Linked DNA regions of Cricetulus griseus. The protein of the gene in region 2 purifies or fractionates together with the protein of the main gene of each other region. This does not show direct contact. Links are inferred from orthologs where the notes say so. Each region holds a gene or a part of one and is shown on either strand. Other genes may lie near its edges. The genes, in order: Snrpa1 and Phf5a.

Region 1 (10,919 bases), on a different chromosome or scaffold from region 2:
TACAAATTAGGAATGTATCTCAGTTTGGTTAAGTGCTTCCTTGCCTAGCATGTACAAAGTCTTGGGTTTAAAGCCCTGAACTGCACAAACTGAGTATAGTGGCAAATGCTTCTAATCCCAGCATTTGTGAGGCAGAGGTAAAAGAATCAGGAGTAAGGTCATCTTTGGTGTCATAGGAAGCCCACACTGGGCAATGTAAGACTGCTTCAAAAATCAAAACCATGGGAAATAGAGGCAGGTGGATCTCCATGAGTTCCAGTCAAGCCAGGGCTATATAGTTAGCCCTTCTCAAAAACCACAAAGCCAAATAAACAAACAACCCCCCCCCCCAATATAGCTTTGTTACTCTTGGGAACCACAGTGTGCATTTTGAATTGAGTGCATTGATTCTAAGCTTTTATTCCAGTTCCCTTACATCTCAGGTGTGTTGCTTTTGTCCCTTTCATCAAATGGTAGCTGTCTAGAACCCCACTTAATCCAGCACTTATATAGCTCAGGTGTTACTCGAAAAAATAGCACAACGGTGGATAGTAACAACTCCCACTACTGGTTATGTAGACTAAATACCTAGCTTTTTAACTTCTCAGTCCTGGTACTTCTTATAGTCAATTCCTTTAGGGTTAGGTAAATTTCCCCATCCACTGCATTTAGCCAGGTAGATTGCTTTGGTTAATGGCAACTAAGCAGAAGTGTTATCAGTTCTGAGTAGTTTAGCTAGTTGTCCAAGGAGAATTAGGCATAGAAAGCTAGCTACTCTAGTTGATCACAATGTCGCAAGATCTGCACAAGACTGGGCTCCTCAACATCCTACCACTGAGAGGGAGAGATGCTAATAGGGGCCTACCTGACCCCCTAGGGCTTCACTAATTAATGGCGGAGTAAGAAACATTTTCTTCAGTGGTGTAGCTATTGGTTAGGTGCCTATGTTCCCATAACCAACTCTAACTCACTAAGTCCAACACACAAAAAAGAAGTGGCTAACTTGGAAGAGGGAAATAATCCTAAGGACAAAGGAAGGTAACAGGTGTGTGTGTGTGTATGATTAAAATACATTATATACATGTATCGAAACCCATTGTTATATACAATTAATATAAGGCAATAAAAAACATTAAAAATAAAGAGCAGAGTCAAATATGCAAACCTGTAGATCATGTGGCAGTAGTGCTGGCATACTGCCAAAACTTGCTATTTTACAAGATAAGAAGCAACTACATAGGACTAAGGGTATGAGAAGCTTAAGAGCTCAGAGAAGGCAATAAAATGGCAGTTCTGTTCAAACATAAATCAGGCTCAGCCTCTTTCTGTGGACACTCTTTAAAAGAAGTGTCTTGCCTGCATATGCCTATACCATACACCTGCAGTGCTCATGGAGGCCAGAAGAGGGTGTTGGATCCCTGGAATTGTTCCAGAAGATTGTGAACTGCAGTGCTGGTGCTGAGAATCAAACCCAAGTCATTTTGAGAGCATCAAGTCTTCTAAAACACCACACACACACACACACACACACACACACACACACACACACACACACACACACTATGGAGATCAGTTCTATCATGTGGATCCAGTGATCAAGCTTCAGGTTAATCATTAATCAAGACTTATAATCATATCCATTAATTCAATTAGGTCAAGCCTCAAGACCAGGTCATTTACCAATTATATAGAAATGCTAGAGGAATAAATAATATTCAAGATCAGGTGTGGTGACACACCTGTAGTCTTAGCTGCTGGGAGGTGGTGGTGGTAGGATTAGGAGTTCCAGGCCAGTTTCAGCTCTGTGGCTAGTTGAAAGCCAGCCTGGGCTACGTGAGACATCATCTCAAATCAGTATCTTAACATAGTTCCACAGACCCATTCTTGCAGGTGTGGCATGACTATCAGTTGCTATACATTTCTGCTGTAACATGGACACTAGTAGCCTGAATGAAACTCATGGTCTATGAAACTATTCACTGAAAACCGTTAGGTTCTAGGGAAAATAGCATGTATTGAGGTGAACCTCATCAATGATTTGGGTCTTGAGACACACATATGGAAGAGGAAGCCTCACTTGCCTCTAGCCAGCTTAGTCCTTGATCAGGACAACGGCACATGATGCAATGGTGTGCTGGTTTTGCTTGTTTTCTTCCCACAACCTCAAATACTAAACACAGTTCTGTTCAGTCCAGATACACAGCAGCCTCCATCATTTTCAAATGCTGAAGTGCTGCCCAGGCCTGGGTTCCAAACTTAAGCTACATTTAATTAAAAAATTTGCAATTACAAGTTACCCCAGGCTGCTGGTGGTGCATGCCTTTATTCCCAGCGCTCAGAGGCAGAGATAGGCAGATCTCTATGAGTTCGAGGTCAGCCTAGTCTGTTTTACAGGACAGGCTCCAAAGCTATAGGGAAACCATGCCTTAAAAAACCGGAGGGGGAAAAAAAAAGAAAGAAAAAGAAAAAGGTACCCCAGGACACCAGCTTGTCATCACTGGGACTGTTGACCAAGTCTCATCCATAAAAAGGACTCAATGAAGCTATGGAAAATAGGAATTTGGCTTTTTATTTGGTGCTAGGGGTCTTGCAGTCTTAGCACGACTGCCATCAAGCCACAGACCCAGCCAAAAGAGGGAAGCACCTGTCTTAGCAGCAACAGGAGCTGGTACATGAACAGAAGGACTATGGGAGCAGTACAGCCAGCCTCACTGAGGATACTGCAAACCAGACTCCAATCCAACATGGGAGGAAACTAAATTTAAGTCTGGGGCTCAGCAGAAGCCACTGTTTGGCCAGTCACCCCAGCAAGACCATTGGGAGCAGTTCCACTGTATCTCAGGTATCTGGTATATGCCTCACAAGATCAGTTATCAGTCATCAATGAAAAGCATCTAGAGACTATTTAATATGCTTGTCATATTCAGAATTACCAAAGGAGCTTGGAAAACTGTAACCAGGGGCTGGGAAGATAGTTCAGTGGGCAAGAATGCTTGCTATGCAAGCTTGAGTACTTGTGTTCAAATCCCCACCACCCAGGTAAAAAGTGGTCTGTCCAAATGCATGCCCACAAGCCTTGTTGGGTGGAGACAAGGACTGTTGGAACTGGCTGGCAGACAGCCTCGTTCCAGGCTCAGAGAGAGACATTGCTCTCAAGGGAACAAGGCAGAATAGGAAATCAAGGCACTAATATTTAACCATAAAAGAAAACTCTTTCCTAGATGAGGAATATAATTAAGATAGCTAGATGCTAAGAGAAGTGTGCCCCACAGAGAAGCCACAACCCCAAGCCTCTGTCCCCACAGGCTGGAAGACTATTTTGCTTATGTTGTAGCATCAATTCCTACTTAGGATTTTTCAAATCATTTAAAATTTGTTAGATACTCCTGTGTGTTTAATTAAAAAGGTCAAAGGATATACCTATTTGTCTAGTCTTAAGCCTCCTTGTCTTTATAAAGAATCTGTAACACTTCATAGTCAGAAGTAATGTTTATTCAGAAACACCATCCTCCCTGTACTGGCTAGTTTTATGAGTCAACTTGACACAAGCTAGAGTCATCAGATAGGATACAGCCATGAGTTCCAGCTGTAAGGCATTTTCTCAGTAAGTGATCAATGGGGGAGGGCCCAGCCCAAGATGGGTGGTGCCATCCCTGGGCTGCTGGTCCTCCTGGGAAGCCAGTAAACAGCACCATGGCCTCTGCATCAGCTCCTGCCTCCAGATTCCTGCCCTGTTTGAATTCCTGTCCTGACTTCCTTCAATGATGGACAGTGATATGGAAGTGTAAGACAAACCCTTTTCTCCCCAACTTGCTTTATGGTCGTGGTGTTTCTTTGCAGCAATAGAAACCCTAACTAAGACACTCGCCAACGTCCATCTTAAATATATCCTTATACTTCACAGCTAACATAACAACAGATAATTTGGCAGCAAGAAAGTGGCCTTTATTTTACCATTTGTAGAAAACTGGCATTTAGATTCCAAGGTACATATTAAAAAAATTACCAGCAGTAGTTCTGAACATTCAGCAATGCTGACAAATTCCATGTTGCTGATACAAGCAAGGCTGTTACTCCATGCTCAAAAAGCAAGACTTGTCCCTAGACAGCCTATTAGACCATCTGCCACAGAGCTCAGGACCCATTTGTGACTGTGTCTTCTTCCAGCTCTTCTTCACCATCATCACTTGGCCCTGAAAAAAACCCACAAAACCAGAAGTCGTGTCAATTTTGTCCACTCATCAGACACATACACATTAATTTTTTAAAAAGGTGAACGAACACACCAACTGTTTTTAACTGTGTTCCACAATCTGTGGTAGCTTTTCTTTTCTTTCTTTCTTTCTTTCTTTCTTTCTTTCTTTCTTTCTTTCTTTTTTTTAAGATTTTTGGTTGCTGGGTGGTAGTAGCACACCTTCAATCCCACAACTCAGGAGGCAGAGTTGAGGCCAGCCTGGTCTACAGAGTGAGTCCCAAGACAGCCAGGGCTACATAGAGAAACCCTGCCTCAAAAAAACAAAACTATTTTTTTTTTTTTTTTGGCCAATGTATTCTTAAAAACAGAAACAAAACAAAAATGCCAGGTGTGGTAGCACACACCTTATACTCATTTCCCCGGAAATGTTCGTAAGTACTAGGAAGATGTCAACATTTTACCAGTGGACCTACATTGTCTTTCTAGTAATGGTGAAGCTTGAAGCCATGGTCTCATGTGTGTTAGGCAGTGTTCTACCAGACTTACATCCCCAGCCTAAATTTTCTAAACCTTAATTTTTGCTTAAAATCTGCAATTTTATCATTGGTAATAAACACTGTCAGCTGCGGGGGATTGCTCAGGCACTTAAATTTAGTTCTAAAGAAAACCATTTCTATTTCTTCATCAAGGACAGTGAGTGGATTTGATATGAATTTTACTGGAGAACACAGCAAGTACCATCACTGGACCTCCTTGCTGGAAAATAAAACCCGCTCTTGGCCTCCCAGTGCATCTTGGGAGTTATTACAGAAATAATTTACCTTGCATGTCCCCAGGGGCCCAAGGACCACATAACAGCACTGATCTTAAAAATACCTTATATCCTCTTCCTGAGGAGCTACTGGCAGTGAACAGCTGCTGAGGTAGGAAGTCACTTTCTTCAGTAGTGTAGTCACTGTAAGTTGCCCTTGCTCCAGTAAACACCCCTGCCCCATGTTAACGAAAGCAACCATGGCTAAACAAATGGGCCACAAAACTAACAAACAAAACAGCTCAAAGACAATGATCCTTGAAAAGCTGTCGTGGTAGTGATTCCCAGGGATACTCATACCAAAATTTGTACTATGTATTTACTTTATTTGAATAATGTACCTCTAATGCTCAAATTGCTGACAAACTTGGCATTCAAACATTACACTAGTTAACACCTACCCAAAACTTGCCCTGTGCTAAGTGTAATTATCACAATCCTCCCCCAAACCTTTTGATGTCAGTACTTATCTTAATATTAAAGATGCAAATACTCACCTAAGACAAAGAAACTTGCCCAAGGACAGTACTGCTTAGACTCAGTGTAGCCAGTTCCATTAACCACTAAATTACCACTAATTTACAGGGATCTCTGCTCCAGGAATTTTATCACTGGAGACTTCATTTGTGTGTGTGTGTGTGTGAAGATGAACATGAGAGCATACTTACACAAACTAGACGGTAAAAGCTATTAAACTACCTATCTGGTAAGACATTATAAACCTAGACAACGTGTCACTGTTCTCAATGTAGACAACTGTAAAACAAAGGTAAGTAGCTGTGCATCTACACATAGACAACATATAGTAAAAACACCAGGCAGAGCAATTTTTAAGCTGTTACTTTATGGGATGACTGTATATGGAATATCAGTTCACCAAGATGCCCATTATATAGGATGTGACTTAGAAGTTCACAATCATCTCTAGAACTTTGTTCTTTCCATGTTGTAGAATGTTTTGCTACAACTTGTAAAGACCTCATAAATATCCCAATGGCCTAACTTTATTGGCCCCCACTCCCTACTTCTTTCCTTCCTATTTTTCCTTTCCTCTTTTTTTTTTTTTTTTGAGAAAAGGGTTGCCTGTAGCCCAAGCTGGTCTCAACCTTATTTTGTAGCCAAGTATGACCTTCAACTCCTGATCCTCCTGCCTCATCCTCCCAAATATAGGGATTCCAGGCCTGTGTGATCATGCCAGACAGGTATTCCTCTGTAGTCATTCCAAGTGTGATGTTTTGGAAGTGCACACAGAATAGTTTTCTGACCTGATCTGCGCTCTCTGCCAGGTATCTGGCCGGACTGCAGCAAGCCCTTCAGCCTCTCAACCTCAGCCAGCGTTGATGCGTTTGCTATAGCATTCTGGAAAGCACAGGAAAAGGGAGATGGATGATTACAACCACCGAAAAGACACTACAGAAATTCCTAGCAACTTTCCCCTAGAAAATCAACCACACAACTGTCTGGGAGAAGAACTTCACTGGCGCAAGAAAAATCAACTTAGAAAACACGCCAACATTTAGGAAGGGATTCGGGCTCTTACAAAGGAGAAGAACCAATCATTCCAAGGGCCCTAAAATTCAAGTTAAGTATCTATTTGGAATTCTGTTACTGGAGACTTTTGGATTTTCTACAGATACTTCAACAGGATTTGTCAGCCAGCAAATCTTGGGAAGCAGAGAAACTAAGACTGAACAACAAAGTAACTAACTGCTCCAAGAAGTAAATGTATCCTGGGTGAAAGAGATAAACATAGATGCCTTCAATTAGTTCATGCAATTAGTTCAAGTCAAAATTTGGTCAAATAGTATCTTTAAGGTAGCCTTTCTGGGCCTAGAAATAGCAGAGTCCTCACAACTATGAGATAATGGGATCTACGATGTTTAGCACTAGGACACACCACTGCCCTGGCCCCACCTCTCTGCTCTCTCCAGTCTGATAACCCAAACATACATATCCTTACCTTGATTGCTTCTACATCCCCTGCAGATGGCCCACCTTTCTTTTTGTCAGTTGGCAAACCAGCACCTGGATTAAAACTTGGGAGGGAGAATATAATTGTTACACTCTGACTAGTGCAGGCTGCTTCTCTTACTTTCAAAAGATTTGAAAGTAATTCAACCAGTGTAGTATCTTATCTTTGTTAACAAACTGATACAAGCACTCTCTCCTTCAGAAACACCACCCAATCCATCTTCCAATAGAGAAAGCAGGATGAACACCACATTAAGATGGTAAACCGAAATATATGCTCTGCTAACCTGGTAGAAATTTCCCAAGATGTACACCATCATTCAAATGTAATACCACACTAACCAGTTTTGGGTTTAATTTTGTAGGAGGCAAACTGCCAGACAGATAGTGTTTCTGAAGGTGAAGTAGAGTTAAGTTGGATATCCGTATCTTACGTTTTGCTTCTCCTGGCAATATCCTTTGCAAGCTGTGCACCCCGTTTGCCCTTGAACATTTTCTCTGCTTCCTGACGCTCCTACAGCGACACCACACACAGAGTTAATCAAAAAAGGAATACCACATGCATTTAGATGCATTCCTTAGAAAACATGGGAGAGAATTCTCCTGAAGTATTCTGGGTTGGTAAAAACAAAAGCCAACTTTAAATTAGGAGACACAGTGGTCCAACCTTCTCGGGGAAAGCTCTCAAAAAGTACCCCTTCCTAATTTCTAAGAGGGACTAGCAAGGAACTACAGAGAATTAGCACTTCCAACAAAGGAACAGCTATTCTAAAAAGCAGAGCTGCTCAAATCTGGGTTATATATGCTCTTGTTGGGAACACATCTAAGTAGACAATGCACTGTGTAGTTCTAACATTAGGGCAACTTTTTTTTTGTTTTTGTTTTTTTGAGACAGGGTTTCTCTGTAGGTTTGGAGACTGTCCTGGTACTAGCTCTTGTAGACCAGGCTGGTCTTGAACTCACAGAGATCCTCCTGATGGGATTAAAGGTGTGCGCCACCAATGCCTGGTCACATTTGGCCAACTTTGAAATGGTCAACATCACCCTACCATAAACTGCTATGAGATGAAAACAAAACAAAAAAACCCACAAGAAAAAAAATAAACAATGGTGACTTAATGCTTTCTTTCCCACACATTAATGGTAAAATGTACTAATTAAGCAACTTGTAAAGACCAGTCATGAAAGGCTAAGGGAAAGGACTACTGTAATGACTCACAGCCAGTATGCAATACTCACTTTGAGTTTCACTTTTTGGAAGTCCAGAACTCTGACTTGTGGAACTTTGTAGATCACATAAAGTCGGTAATGCTTCTTATTTGTTACAGGATTTCTTAGGATGCTATAGAAAAGGGACAGTGCCAATCTTACTCACAGCATTCCACTTGAGAGGGTCATTTGAAAAGTGCAAAGACTATAAACCAAGAGAAAGCACACCATTCTTCCTACTTTACTGTTTAGTAGCAGCCTGATGCTGTTACTTCAGAACTTCATTAGTCGAGTTATCACAACAAGCGGATTTCCATACCTTAGATATGTTAGTGATTTGAGAGATGCCAAAGGATCCAGATCACCCTATAAAATAAGGGTCAGAGTAAAAACAAAGCTGATACACACACTACTATTCTGATATTCTGAAATAACAAGTATCTTTGAAACAGTATCCACACTATCATTTACTTATTTTTTTTCTGCCCTGGCACCTAGTCCAATACTAATACAACACAACTGCCTAAATATCTTCCACCTAATAAAACTGCTGAATATGTTAAGTATTGGCAGTAACAGCACCTGTTTCAATAGAAGAAAAAAAAATTGATTTCCCATAACAACCTCAAAATGGCTACTACTAAGCAATGATTTAAAAGGAAATTAATGCCAACATCGGTAACTTACTTGTATCAAGCTATTTACACAGGAACCTCAAGCCAAGACCTTGGTCTATATGTGGGTTTCTTGTTGTTTGAGACAGAATTTCCTATAGCTTAGGCTGGCCCTGAACTTGCTATGCAGCCTAGGATGATCTTCAATCCCGATCCTCCCAAATGTTGATATTATGGGTATATGCCGCCAAACCTGGTGCAAAATGTCCTTTCTTGTTAGTATATCCCAAATGGCCCCGGGAAACATTATCTTTGAGAGGGAGCACTGTTATCTTAGTCCACCCCCACCCCTTCAAATATTTTCAAAGTCAAGGTGAATAATATAGTTCAAAAAATTGTAACAACAGAGAACAGAGGGAGAACTAGAGCTTGAAAAGTGGCTTACTACCACAAAGAAAATCCAAAAGGAGGTTGAAGAGATGGCTCAGAGGTTAAGAACACTGGCTGCTCTTCCAGAGGTCTTGAGTTCAATTCCCAGCAACCACATGGTGGCTCACAACCATCTATAATGAGATCTGGTGCCCTCTCTGGCACAGATGCACACATGAAGACAGAACATAATAAATATGCATAATAAATAAAACTCTTTAAAAAAAGGATCCAAAAGGAATAAAAAAGTGTGTTATACATCCATAGTACAGAACACAATGACAGCATGCTGACTGGTGTGGAAAAATACTATTTTAAGGTATGTCTTTTGTTTATGCTGCATTTGTTTAACTTGGTGAAGCTGTTGTTCTTTGCCTATCTAAAACACCTGATAGGCTAATAAAGTGCTGAAAGGCCAATAGCAAGGCAGGGGCAAGGATAGGTGGGGCTGGCAGACAGAGTATAAATAGAAGGAGAAACAAAGAAGGGAGAGGGAGGAGCAAGAGAACAACGATAGGAGGATGTCAGGGACCAGCCACCTAGCCAGTCACGGAGTAAGAAAGAAAGAAAGACATACAGAAGTAAGAAAGATAAAAGCGCTAAAGGAAAAGGGAGACAATTTAAGATAAGAAAACCTGGTTAGAAACAAGCCAAGCTAAGGCTGGGCATTCATAACTAATAAGCCTCCGCATATTTATTTGGGTACTGGGCCCCTCAAAAAGAGTAAAAGAGCAAAAACATAACACAACAGATTGGTTTAAGAAAAAGAATAGCTAGGCCTGTAGTTGAATAGTAGGGGGCTAAACTGGCATCCACAAGGTTCTAGATTCAATATTTGATTCCACAATGTATCACCAAGGTACTAACTCCAGAAAGAGCCCCTGCTGGGACCTTCTACACCCCAGCTGTATGCTGACAGAGCATTGGCTTTAAAGCTGGGTGTAGTGGCTCATGTCTGTTATCCCTGCATTGGGGATGCTAAGGCAAGAAGACTGTAGTGATTCAAGGCCAGTCTAGGCTACATATGGAGTTACCAGTCAGCCTGGGTGACATGTTAAGGGACTGTCTCAAAATACAATATAGGCTAATAGCTGATGTAGGCTGCCTACCACAAACTTGATGGTAAAACCCTATTGGTGAAGGCAGAACATTTTCATCACAGGACATGAGAAATCAAGTTGGTACTGACCAGGAAGCTTCCTACTAGCCAGCTAGTTTTCAAAGTTCCAGAAGTTCTATGCAGGCTGCTGAGGAAAGATGTCATCAACCGTCGTCACGCCCAGGTGTAAATACTGTCAGCTCAGTAACGACCTTGTGGCAGTGACCCATGGGTGCAGTGGTGGCACAAATGTTATGATACAAACAACCATTTTCTGGTTTGATCTTAGACCTATTCCCACAGGAGGAAATGCATGCCTGGGACAATAAATCTGGCTAAGAACTCATGGCTGGGCAGCTCACAGGCCCTAGAGCTCACCCTACTCTTATTATAGCATCAAACTACCCTCTAATATCTACCTCCTGGACCTCATCAGAGAGGTTTCTTTGTGGAATGGAGAGTACTTTATGAAGAAGCTTATGACTGGCCAAAGTGCAGAGAATGCATGTTTCTGGAGGGCTGAGCCATAATGGGACATGTTTATCATACCTCTTCTCTGCAAGGCTCAGACTATTGAGGAGGAAGGGCAAGGGGAAAGACTGCAAGAGCCCC
Region 2 (12,059 bases):
GCTCCAAAGATAGACAGAGAAACCATGTCTCAAAAGAACAAAATAAATAAATAAATAAAAGATGAGGAAACAGGTACAGAGAGATGGAGTAGCTTGCTGAATATCAGTTACTTAGCAATAAGCCAGGATTTAAACCGAAACATTTTGATGCATGAATACATGATATTAGCCTTTATGGTGTATTTCCTTTCTGTTTCTTCACCTGAAACACTACCGTTCACTGGTCTGCCTTATCCCAGAGTCACAAGCAATTACTTAGTAAGGTAAATGCTAGCATTAATGGCAGGAGTGATACTAACCAATTCTGTAACCTTCCTTCATGTTTGGTCCAGCCAAAAGAAGATGCATAAATATTCAGGCTGAGAAAAATCTAAGGGTACATTAGAATATGGTAAACATTCCACAAGAACAGGAACTGGAGACTAGCAAGGTGACTCAATGGTTAAGATTGCTCTTTCAGAAGACCCAGGTTTGGCTTCCAGCACCCACAAAATGGCTCACAACCATCTCTAACTCCAGTTCAAGAGGGATCTGATTCTCTCTTCTGGGTTCTGTGAACACTGCACATATGTACATGGTACATATACATACACGCAGACAAAACAACCATACACATTAACATAAAATAATAAAACTTTAAATGCACTGGGAAGCCGGGCGGTGGTGTCGGAACACCTTTAGTCCCAGCACTTGGGAGGCAGAGGCAGGCGGATCTCTGTGAGTTCAAGACCAGCCTGGTCTACAAGAGCTAGTTCCAGAACAGCCTCCAAAGCCACAGAGAAACCCTGTGTTGAAAAAACAAAAAAGACAAACTAACAAAAAAATGCACTTGGAAAAAAACAAAAACAAAAAAACTGGGGCTGTCTTTTTACCAATTTTTCTGGCCATGGTGGCATGTGCCTGTACTCCAAGCACACAGGAGGCTAAGGCAGGAGAATTGAAAGTTCAAGGCCAGCAACAGAACACAGTAAGAACCAGTCTCAAAAACAGGACCAAAACAAGACAAGAAGAAAAACATGCTAGAGATTGACCAGACATAGCTACCAAAGTATTAACCATCACTTCTCAAATGCATGCAAGCATAGTTGAAAGATGTTCTCAGAGTACAGAGTCACGAGGAATTAGAGACAGTCTGGCTATCTGAGTGCAGTAGTATATTGCAAAGACCTTACTACTACTCATTCACCTTAGCTGAATGAATATGAGAGGGACTTTTATTTTAATCCTACCTCCAGCAGTCAACCCTGCCCTCAAGGTCTTAGATTCGTCACCAAGTGTAAAAGAGGTTGAAGTACATCATTGTGAACACATTCTAATTCCTCATAATTAAGTGCTCAATAAACATTTGTTTAATGAAGACCAATCCCAGCTGATAGACAAAGAACATAGTGTTGTGCCAGGTTCTCGGAGCCCAGAGACTAACCCAAGGAGTTGGCACTATGATGCAAAGTAAAAGGTTTCTTTTTATTTCAAGCTGGCCAGCTAGGATCTCACTGCATGGCAGGCAAATGAGATCCCAACCAGCTAAAAAGAGAAGCTTTTAAAGGGGCAGACCATAAGGTTGAAGGCCACAAATTACAGAGTTTCCAGGGTTACTTAAGGTCATACAAAGTACAGAGTTAGTCAGTAACTATACATTTTAAGGGAGATACATTTGAGTGAATAAGACAGGGCATGGGCTTGCAGGGTTACAGAGTCACAGGGTCTGTCAGTTATCCCCTGGGCTGGGGGATTTTTATGACCAGCAATTAGCAAAGGAATGTTAACAGGAATGGTGAATAGTTACCTCTCCTTTTCTGAGAGCTGGGAATCAGGTGCCAGTCATGGCACTCTTGATTTAAGGAGTTAAATTTTCCTTTATCATCAGATGTTCCCTTTTCAGGACCTAAGTTTTTAAATTTTTATTAATTTGAATTTTTGGTCCCTCAATAGAAAGTTACATTTACAAGGTCATGGGATCAGGGCAGGACCTGAACTATACCCCAGATATCTTTCTACACTCATACTTTCCAAATGTGACATTATACTTTTCTTCCAAAGTCAAAAGTCATTTATTCTATTTAATGATCTTTTTCTGGCTCCACTAAATCAAAGGTCAACAGGGTCGGGACAAAACTCTCCATATTATCTAAAGAATCAAAAGAACCGCAGAGATAATTTAGCTATAAATCCTTTGCCTAAGTCAAAATTCAAATGATTTGTTCAGATAAATGAAGAGTTTTATTTTACACTTTTTTTTGTTTGTTTTTGTTTTTCGAGACAGGGTTTCTCTGTGGCTTTGGAGGCTGTCCTGGAACTAGCTCTTGTAGACCAGGCTGGCCTCTAACTCACAGAAATCTTCTGCCTCTGCCTCCCGAGTGCTGGGATCAAAGGCGTGCACAACCACCACTCAGCTATATTACACTTTGATTTTAAGTAATGTGACAAAAAATAACATTGAATGATAATGCTTCCTGAGAATACAGCACATAACTTTTTGTTTGTTTGGTTTTTCTTTTTTTGAGACAGGGTTTCTCTGTAACTTTGGAGTCTGTCCTGGAATTCACTCTGTAAACCAGGTTGGTCTCGAACTCACAGAGATCTGCCTGCCTCTACCTCCCAAGTACTGGGATCAAAGGCCTGCGCCACAAAACTTTCTAAAATTAATTCTACATTAAAAGTTGTGCCACTTGGTCCAAAGAAGATTCACAAAAGTAATCAATGATAAAAGGTTACCAGAAAATGTCTACAGGTACTTTATTGCTTTATTTTTATTGACAAAATACATACTTTACAGTAAACTTAATATTATACCTTCCCGCCGGTCATTGGTGGTGCATGCCTTTGATCCCAGCACTTAGGAGGCAGAGGCAGGCGGATCTCTGTGAGTTCAAAGCCAGGCTCCAAAGCTACACAGAGAAACCCTGTCTCAGAAAACCAAAAAAAAAAAAAAAAAAAAAAATACACACACACACACACACACACACACACACACACACACACACAGTTGTCAAGTTGGGAGTGAAAAGCCCTCTGTCAGTCACACTTAACTTTCTAGATGTCTCGTAACAGTAGAGTCAAGGTCAAACTGTTGGGTCTTCTCATCTTTCCACCTAGTATCTGAAAAGCAACTGTGAATTTGAAATACTTTGTACTCTGACAACTACAAACGACCACACCCTGGTTCAGACAGTTCTGACATTAGGTTGCCATGAACAAGGAGAACAGAGGGTCAGCAGGGTCACTGCTCAAGCTATAGCACTATCGTGACACCGTGAAAGTCAGAACTTTCATCTACTTTTTTGCAGTTTTACTATCTATTGAGTTGGAAAAAAATCATCTGACATCTATGTTGCCAGAAATATGTAAATCAGGTTATATTAGTGAACAGTCTTGACATCTGGTGCAGAGAGGAACCACTGTTATCATGACTATGGACTATACTGGTGCTCAGAATACTCTACCCTTCTTGCATCTATGACCCCAGGTGTCCTCAAAAGGTAGTATTGGGTATAGCTTCTGCAGACTCCAGGCCCGAGAACCACACATACAAACGGCTGGCAAATCTCTGCTGTTAATGGGAAGTGAGGGCTTCAAGCACCTGGCTTAGAGGAACCCACAACCACCGCGCCCCCCAGTAACCTTGTCATCACCTTGAGAACAGAAAACCACACTGGGGGGAGCGGGCAATTCGGCCCTCAGGAAATGAGGGGTGCCCTCATCCTTTATCACACTGCGGATGCTTAGACTCAAGCTTCCCGCTGGGCGGGGACGGGGACTGGGCCTGGGAACTGACTGTGCCAGGGACACCTTGACCTAGGACAAGGCAGGAGCGGACAAGGACGCTGGGCCTGCAACCGGGACAGGTTCGCAAAAGTCAGCCCCAGGTTGAGCCCGCCTCGCGTGGCCTCGCCTACCGCCGCAGGCAGAGCTCCCCGCCCCCGTGAACCCACACATCGGAGCTCGCTCACCTGCAGCCGGGTCACCAGGAGGCTGTAAGGCGCCATTTTGTGCACTGACAAAGATGAGGTCGCGTGAAAGTGACGTGCCACAGGGCGCTTTTGAAGTGCTTGGGAAGGGGCGTGGCCTCCAAAGCGGCGCGTCACGGTGAGGGTGGGGCCTTCCTCCTCGGAGCCGGAGTCCAGAGAGCGCAGTGGGCGGGGCTTCCATGACGGGCACAGCGCGAGAAAGAAACTGCCAGCTTGTCAGTCTTTGCACTTGGGGACGGAGACGGCAGCGGAGCCAGGAGTTCAAGGTCATCCTTCACGCCTTGAGACTCAAAAGGGAACCCCCAGACCACATATTTTGCGGAAGCATGCGTGAGGCCCTGGCCTCAGCCCCGAGCACAAAAAGTACCATGTGTACAAAAGTTTTTTGCGAGACAGGTCTGGCTGGCCTCGAACTCAGAGATCCGCCTCCCGAGTGCTGGGACTAAAGGCGTGTGCTACCACCAACCAGCCATATGTAGGAATTTTATCCAAGACAAAAACACTTAGTTTATTCGTTCAAATCGGGAGGGAACAAAAACTTTATTATAAAGTCTTTGATGCACCTGCTAGGGGTCCAGCAAGTTCACGCTGAGAAAACTCGCGAGAACTAGCGAGATTTGGTGCAACGAAGGGCAAAAGCTGATGGGCACCTTGACGGCCAATCACGATGGAGAAGTGGGTGTAGGAACGGCGTAGGTTAAAGGTCGAGCGGAAGTTCTCTAAGCTTCCGGCCGCCGGCTTGGGGACGAGTGATGGCTAAACACCATCCAGATTTGATTTTCTGCCGCAAGCAGGCTGGTGTTGGTGAGTTGGCTCGCCGCTCCCTTCCGTTGGAGTGGGATGGTGTTAGAAACGGGAGAGTGGGGGGTTCGCTTCCTCTTTAGGGCCTGGCCTTGGGGGCTCCACGTTTCGCGCCTTGCGGTCCCTGGGTATTCTGGGGGTGCGCCCAGGTTTGTGACTTGTGATAAGAAGGCAGGATCGCGCGTCTGGGAGCCTGAAACTGGGGGCAGCGTCTGCGCTAGGTCTGGAGAAGCCGTCCCAGGTTGCTTTGAGGATTCCGGACAGGGCGCTGGTGCAAAGCAAAACTTAGGGGCTTAGGCCGGGCGTGGTAGTTCACGACTGTAATCCCAGCGCCTGGGAGGCTGAAGGCAGAAGATTGCTGGGGGTTCGAGGCCGACCTGAACTACATAAGAAGTTCCAGGCTATAAAACGGGAATCTGTTGGGAGGAGGGGCGTGGAGAGGGGAAAAAAAAGGATAATAAGACAGCTATTCTGCTCACTGTAGTCATTGCTACCTGCCCCATCCTCTATCCCAGCTTTGAGGAACAACTTCCTTGCTAAATCACCATTTTGATTTTAACTGTGTTTTTTCTTGCAGCTATCGGAAGACTGTGTGAAAAATGTGAGTGGAACATACCCTCTCACACATTGCCTTCTTTCTTTGTTTTTTGACGAGCCAACAAGCCATTTATTCCAGAGGAGCCCTAAAGAAGCATTGAGTGGATATGCCAGACTGCAAAGAACACTGAATCTCTGACTACAACCAAAGGCTCCCCACCAGACTCCCACTTTAGCTTGCATACTTTAATATTTCATACTTAGGTTGTGGGGGAAAAATACTTTTGGACAGTAAGAACTATCAGAGTAGTGTGAACCTTCCCAGGCCAATGTTTGTGCAAGAAGGCATGCAATTTGTTGATGATAACTACATAGACTTAAAAGCTCCTAGCTAACACGTCAAAACTCTTCCCATTTATATTTTGAAGGAAACTGAGGTAGATGGTAGATATAAGATAGGGTGGATGCTGTCAAGATAGAGAAAAGGCCTGAAGTCACAGTCAAAGGGAGACTGGTTATTTCACCCATAGAATAAAGATCTTTAGGAAGTAATCACTAGTGAATATAACTCCATTCCTCTTCCTTTGCAGGTGATGGCAAATGTGTGATTTGTGACTCCTATGTGCGACCCTGCACCCTGGTTCGCATATGTGATGAGTGTAACTATGGATCTTACCAGGGCCGGTGTGTGATCTGTGGAGGCCCCGGAGTCTCCGATGCCTACTATTGTAAAGAATGCACCATTCAGGAGAAGGATGTGAGTGTAGACTTGAGCATTCCCTCCTGGCCTTTCTTCCTTTTTCTTTGGACCATTTTGCCATCCATGTCCATCTCTTCTGGTCTATGGAGACTGCAATGTTCAGCTAGTCATGTAGGTAGAGGTTATTATCATCCTCCTTTTATACTCTGTCCCAGGCTATCTGACTAAATCTGGTGTCCACATTACATCATGTTATGCTTCTCTAAGACCTTCTTGGTGTGTGCTCATGATGAAGAGAGCACCCAGCCTCCTCAGCACTCCACATGTGGATGCTACCTACCACCAGTACCCGAAGCCAGATAGGGCTTTAAGGAGGGAGGGGGGTTGTTCTACGTGGTGCGGAAGGTGATCTATGATAGCTGCATTTTCAGTTTTGATTGACTTTATCATCAAATCTCAAATCGGGTCTTACCACATCCAGCAGATATTGATTGGGGAAGCCACATTTAGGCATTAGCTAGAGTTCCCAACTGAGAGCTTTTTCTCCATGGATGAGCTCCAGGCTTTTCTTACTGCCTGCATGCAGTTTATGCCACAGGACATACAAATGATTCCTGTTGGGTATATCCTCACTGTTCTCAGTGCTGCAGAGTTTGGTTGTGTTTGGTTTGGTTGAATTTCTTTGTTACATCTATTTGTGTGGGTGCATGTGGTATTAAGAGGACAGCTTGCCTGGAGTTGGTCCCACACACACACACACACACTAGTGAGTATTTTGGCCCACTAATACTTTTATGTGCTTACTGTTTTTCCCTGTCCTTCTTAGAGAACCAGATTGGTGCTTGGCCCAGAATGGAGTTTTAGAGCAGCTGAAAAGTATTGTTTACTCTGTTGAATCCACTATTGTTTGGGAAAAGGGGAATGTTGTTGATTAAGTATGAAATCATAATTTCAGTTGGTGGTTTGAACATTCTCCTGCCCTAAATGCTCTTTCCAATTCTTTAGACAACCAGAACTCGATTGTATTCTGTCTTCCACAGCTGTGGATTATGTCCTCCATCTTTCCTTTTTCTCGGGTCTTGGTAATAGTGCCTAATCTGTAATACAAGGATGGTGCTCTCTTTTTGGTACTGTGCCTATAAAGTGTTCCTGGGAGACACTCCCCACCCTGGGCATTTGTTATTTAGGAACTGGGAAGTACTGGGTGTAATGGAAAGAGGAGGGACACACAGTTCTCAAGCTAAAGGGTCCCTGAAGAGACAACACTTTCTTGAGCTTTCAGAAATGTCTAGAGTCTGTTTCTGACTTAAGCTTGGAACCAGAGGATGCTTGCTAAACAGTAATTGCCATCTCACTTGTCTGCATGCGCCCTGTGATCTGATACCTTTGGATCCCTGCCCCTCATTCTGCTCCCTGAGAATTATTTTGGACATCACTTCACCTACTTGCCATTATACAGGAACGTTCTGAGGACACCTGAGCTCAAGCTCACAATTACTCAGCACTAGTTTCCAAGGGACACAAAGCAGTCCTGTGACGTGATCCAGCCTCTCACCCTTACAGACAGAGGATCATGTAGATGGGGTGCCCAGGCATTTTCCTGTGCAGAAATCTTCCTGCAGCAAAAGCCACCCCCCCCCATTGTTCTCCTCTTCCTGTAGCTTTTATTATTTATAAGGCAGTTAATTAGGCCAGTAAGCTGAGCTGGGTATCCTCATTTGTACTTTTTCAAAACCTCAAAAATAATCAAGAATCAGGAGTTAGGCATGGTGGGGCATATCTGTAATGCCAGCACTTGGTATGCTGAGGGAGGAGAATTGCCAGTCTGGGGCCAGGCAGTGGTAGTGCACACCTTTAATTCCTGTGCTTGGGAGGCAGAGGGATTCGGGTCTCTTTGAGTTTGAGTCCAGCCTGGTCTATGCAGAGTTCCAGGATGGCCAGGGCTACACGGAGAAACCTGACTTGGAAAAACGAAAAATAAAAATAAAACCAGTCTGGGATACACTATCTTACAAATCATTGAGTCTACCAGGTCTCACCAATATCTTTAAATCTTGGTTCTGGAGGACTAATTTGTATATTGTTATGATATGACAGCAAGCAAATCTCCCAGATCCCAAACAGAATAAGAAAAATTACATTTATGGAGTTTAAAATGTATTTTTATGCCGGGCTGTGGTGGCACACACCTTTAATCCCAGCACGAGGGAGCAGAGGCAGGTGGATCTCTGTGAGTTTGAGACCAGCCTGGTCTACAAGAGCTAGTTCCAGGACAGCCTCCAAAGCCACAGAGAAACCCTGCCTCAAAAAACCAATAAATAAATAAAATGTACTTTTATTTATTTTTGCAGTACAGGGGTTGAACAACCCAGTCCAGATTCCCTGTAATAGCGGCCAGTCCACTGAGCCATCTCTTTCGAACCCACAGTTTTCTAATGAGAAATTAAATACTAAGGAATACGATAATGTTGGCTAGGAGTGTACTGTAAGTTGCAGATCGTTCTAATGTTGGAGATAGAAGACAGTATGAATTGTCCTGATGGGAGATGCTTGGTCTAGTCCATGCATTTCCTCTAACCATTTCACTGTCATTTCTCAGGCTGAGAAACATTTCTTTGATTTGTTGTCTTGCCATTTCTACCATTCTCATTTAGTTTATCTTATTTAGGATAACTGGAAAGGTGAATAGAACATTAACCCAAAAGCTATAAAATGGTCTTTGAGGGGCTGGCAGGCCTGCCCAGTAAGTACAGGCCTTTATTGCCAACCTGACAACCAGGCCTCAGAACTCCGAACCTCCAGTCTCTGTGCTCACACCATAGTATGCATACATATATGCATACTAAATCAATTTTAAATTGTTTTCTTTTTTTTTAATTAAAAAATGGTTCTGAAAACTCATAAAAAGCTGGGCTATGATGGTGCAGGCCTTTGATCCCAGCACTCAGAAGGCAGAGGCTGGTGGATCTCCGTGAGTTCGAGGCCAGTCTGGTCTACACAGCTAGTTCCAGGACAGCCTCCAAAGCAATACAGAGAAACCCTGTCTCGAGAAACAAAACAAAAAAAAGTACAGAAGACACTGAGTGATCTTGGGTACCTCCCCCAGTTAAGTAAATGGAGGTGTTTTATAGGGCAAAACCACACTGATTATATGGTGGTGGTGGTGGTAGTTTTGGTTTTGGTTTTGGTTTTGGTTTTTTTCAAGACAGGTTTCCCTGTGTCGATATCCTGGAACTCACTCTATAGACCAGGCTGGCCTCAAACTCAGAGATCTACCTGCTTCTCCCTCTTCCTGCTGGGATTAAAGTGTGTGTTGCCACCACCCCTTGGTTGGGATCTTTTAAAATTTCTTTTTTGTTGTGAGATGTTGAGGATTAGACACAAGCCCAGTCTATAAGCTGTAAGCTCTCAGGTGACAAGTAATGCTTTTCATGCTCCTGAGCTAAATTTTATCTTAAATCTCTAAAGGCAATTTCAAGGACTTAACAACTTGGTTCTGTTTTTCAGAGAGACGGTTGCCCAAAGATTGTCAATTTGGGGAGCTCTAAGACAGACCTGTTCTATGAACGCAAAAAATATGGCTTCAAGAAGAGGTGATGGGTGAGCAGCTCCTTCTCCCCCATCAAGCTGCTGCAGCTGCCAGAAAAGACACCTACTACCACCAGCAGAAAGGGACCGAAGCCCAGCGTGTCACCAGAATAGCCTGCTAGAGCTACTGTCTTGGCCCCCTGCCCCTGTCTTTCCCTCACCATTCTGGTGGGGATGGAAGAGAGGTCTTCACAGAGTACTCTAGCAGACTGGAAGAAAAATTGCTAGCTTAATTCATAGTTTGTTTGTTCTAGTTGGAAAAACGAGGCTCTGCCCTCTAGATTGATAGATTCTCTCCACACCAAAAGCTTTGAAATGAGTCTTCCGTCTGCGGCCTTGACAATGAAGCTGCCGCAGGCAAAAGCATGGCCTTCAGCAGCTATGATGGTGGTGGTCTTCTGTGACCCTCAGTGTGGCCAGGAGCCATCAGAACAGTAATGTGATGTGACACTTCCCAGGTGGTGCTAGCTTCATGTTATTTTCCTTCTTAGAAATTGGAAATTTCTGTTGTTCTAATAAAGTTGGTGTGTATTTTCTGGTAGTTGGTTGGTTGCCTTCCACATCACCTTTGAGAGTCTACTTTGTAGTCTTCCAGGATTTGGTAAGTGAAACCATAATAGAGGCTGTGGGGTCGAGGAAGTGCCTTGTCCTATTTCTGACACTGGGAAAAATTCAGAGGCAAGTGGGCATTGGTGGCTCACGCCTTTGATCCCAGCACTTGGGAGGCAGAGGCAAGCAAATCTCTATGAGTTTGAGGCCAGCCTGGTCTACAGCATTCCAGTACAGCCTCCAAAGCTACAGAGAGAAACCCTGTCTTAAAAAACAAACAAAAAAACCTCAGAGGCCACCTATGCCTTTTACTGTGAGTGAAGGAGTTGATTTTAATTTTAATTTTTAGTTCCTATCCACCTTTTTTTTTTTTTTTGTTCCTTTTGTCTCATTAGCTCAGGCTACCTGGACATTGTTGTAATTCTCCTTAGTCAGAGTGCTGGCATTCCATATGTGAGTGACCATACCTGGGTTTTCTAATTCTGACTTCAAAGAGATATCCTACAATAATGGTGAGGAAAATATGATAAAATTAATAAATTAGAAAATGATGTTTCATAAAATACATATGTATTTGTATGAAGGGATGTTTCCTTTTAAAAAATGTTAAAGATTTTGTGTATGTTTGTATAAGTACTCTGCCCGGTCCCTGCAGAGCTCAGGGCATCCTATCCCCTGGAGTTAGAGATGAATGTGAACTACCATGTGGGTGCTGAGAATCAAACCGAGGTCCTTTGCAAGAGCAATAAGAGCTCTTAACCACTGAGTCGTCTCACCAGCCTTAACAAGTACCTTGTAAGTAAACTCAAAACTGGAAAATTTAGCCATGGGTCAATACATTTCTGCCTACTGATGTGACAGTTTTCTGGAGTGGGTATTTCTACATGTTTAGATGTATTGTTAAGTAGATCTTTAGTGCCATAGATCTGCGTCCTGAGGAATCTATGTACTTGGCCTTAGTAGCAAAACTGTGGCAAGAAATAATTTATTTTATGTGCATTGTGTTTTGCCTACGTGTGTGTGTGTGTGTGTGTGTGTGTGTGTGTGTGTGTGTGTGTGTATGTCAGATCCTCTGGAACTGAAGTTATAAACAAACAGTGGTGAGCTGCCACATGGGTGCTGGGAACTGAACCTGGGTCCTGTGGAAGAGCAGCCAGTGCTCTTAACTCCAGCCCTGAAATAACTTTCTATTGAGGGTTTTGGTTTGGGTCAACAATAAAAAAACAAAGCTCTTGGTTATATATAATGTAATGAGTAGAGTTAAGATAATCTCTGTTTTGCTGGGCGGTGGTGGTGCACGCCTTTAGTCCCAGCACTCGGGAGGCAGAGGCAGGCGGATATCTGTGAGTTCGAGACCAGCCTGGTCTACAAAAGCTAGTTCCAGGACAACCTCCAAAGCCACAGAAAAACCCTGTCTCGAAAAACAAAACAAAAAAAAAAAAGATAGTTTCTGTTTTGAGAGAATGGAATAAAGGACAACGTCCCTCTCAGGGCATACAAAGGATCCTTGTGCCAGCTTGGCAATCACTTCCTAAAAGCAGGACAAGGTCTTGACCACCAATAAAGCTAATCCTGAAGGCTTCCAGGTGCTTTGCTCCTGCCCGGCCTTTTGACCCTCTGTGCTGTGACCACTGGGCTCTTCCTCGGTACATGGACTTATGATTTTTGCCTGTCTCAGTGTTCCTTATTTATTAACCTGTTGATCCTCCCACTGTAGTGCTCCTGCTTTGCTAACTCCTCCCACTTATCCTTCAGACCTGTGCCAAATACAGCCTCAGATGTCTCCCAACCTGCAATCTAGTTTCCCCTTGTACTTTCATGTAACGTTTTCTGTGTATTCCTAAAGCATTTGGTGATTGTTAACTGTCACCTTGTAAGGCATATTCTTCCCATGTTCAATGTTGAGTGATAAACAG

What was found.
Region 1: the proteins of Phf5a (region 2) and Snrpa1 purify together in Homo sapiens (affinity purification with mass spectrometry; 4 studies listed by BioGRID and IntAct, with this or other methods). This does not show direct contact. The link is inferred for Cricetulus griseus from reciprocal best matches to the Homo sapiens genes PHF5A and SNRPA1.

What each region holds. Positions count from the first base shown.
Region 1 is NC_048596.1:131,200,330-131,211,248, forward strand, and holds the end of Snrpa1 (U2 small nuclear ribonucleoprotein A'), read right to left. Parts: intron 8,532-10,919; coding exon 8,485-8,531; intron 8,299-8,484; coding exon 8,196-8,298; intron 7,471-8,195; coding exon 7,391-7,470; intron 7,022-7,390; coding exon 6,946-7,021; intron 6,345-6,945; coding exon 6,251-6,344; intron 4,173-6,250; coding exon 4,114-4,172; 3' UTR 3,900-4,113; downstream 1-3,899. UniProt on the Homo sapiens protein: Involved in pre-mRNA splicing as component of the spliceosome. Associated with sn-RNP U2, where it contributes to the binding of stem loop IV of U2 snRNA.
Region 2 is NC_048595.1:379,001,789-379,013,847, reverse strand, and holds Phf5a (PHD finger-like domain-containing protein 5A), read left to right. Parts: upstream 1-4,630; 5' UTR 4,631-4,720; coding exon 4,721-4,772; intron 4,773-5,346; coding exon 5,347-5,370; intron 5,371-5,896; coding exon 5,897-6,063; intron 6,064-9,513; coding exon 9,514-9,603; 3' UTR 9,604-10,135; downstream 10,136-12,059. Other genes in the region: Aco2 (aconitate hydratase, mitochondrial), read right to left, coding at 3,951-3,986.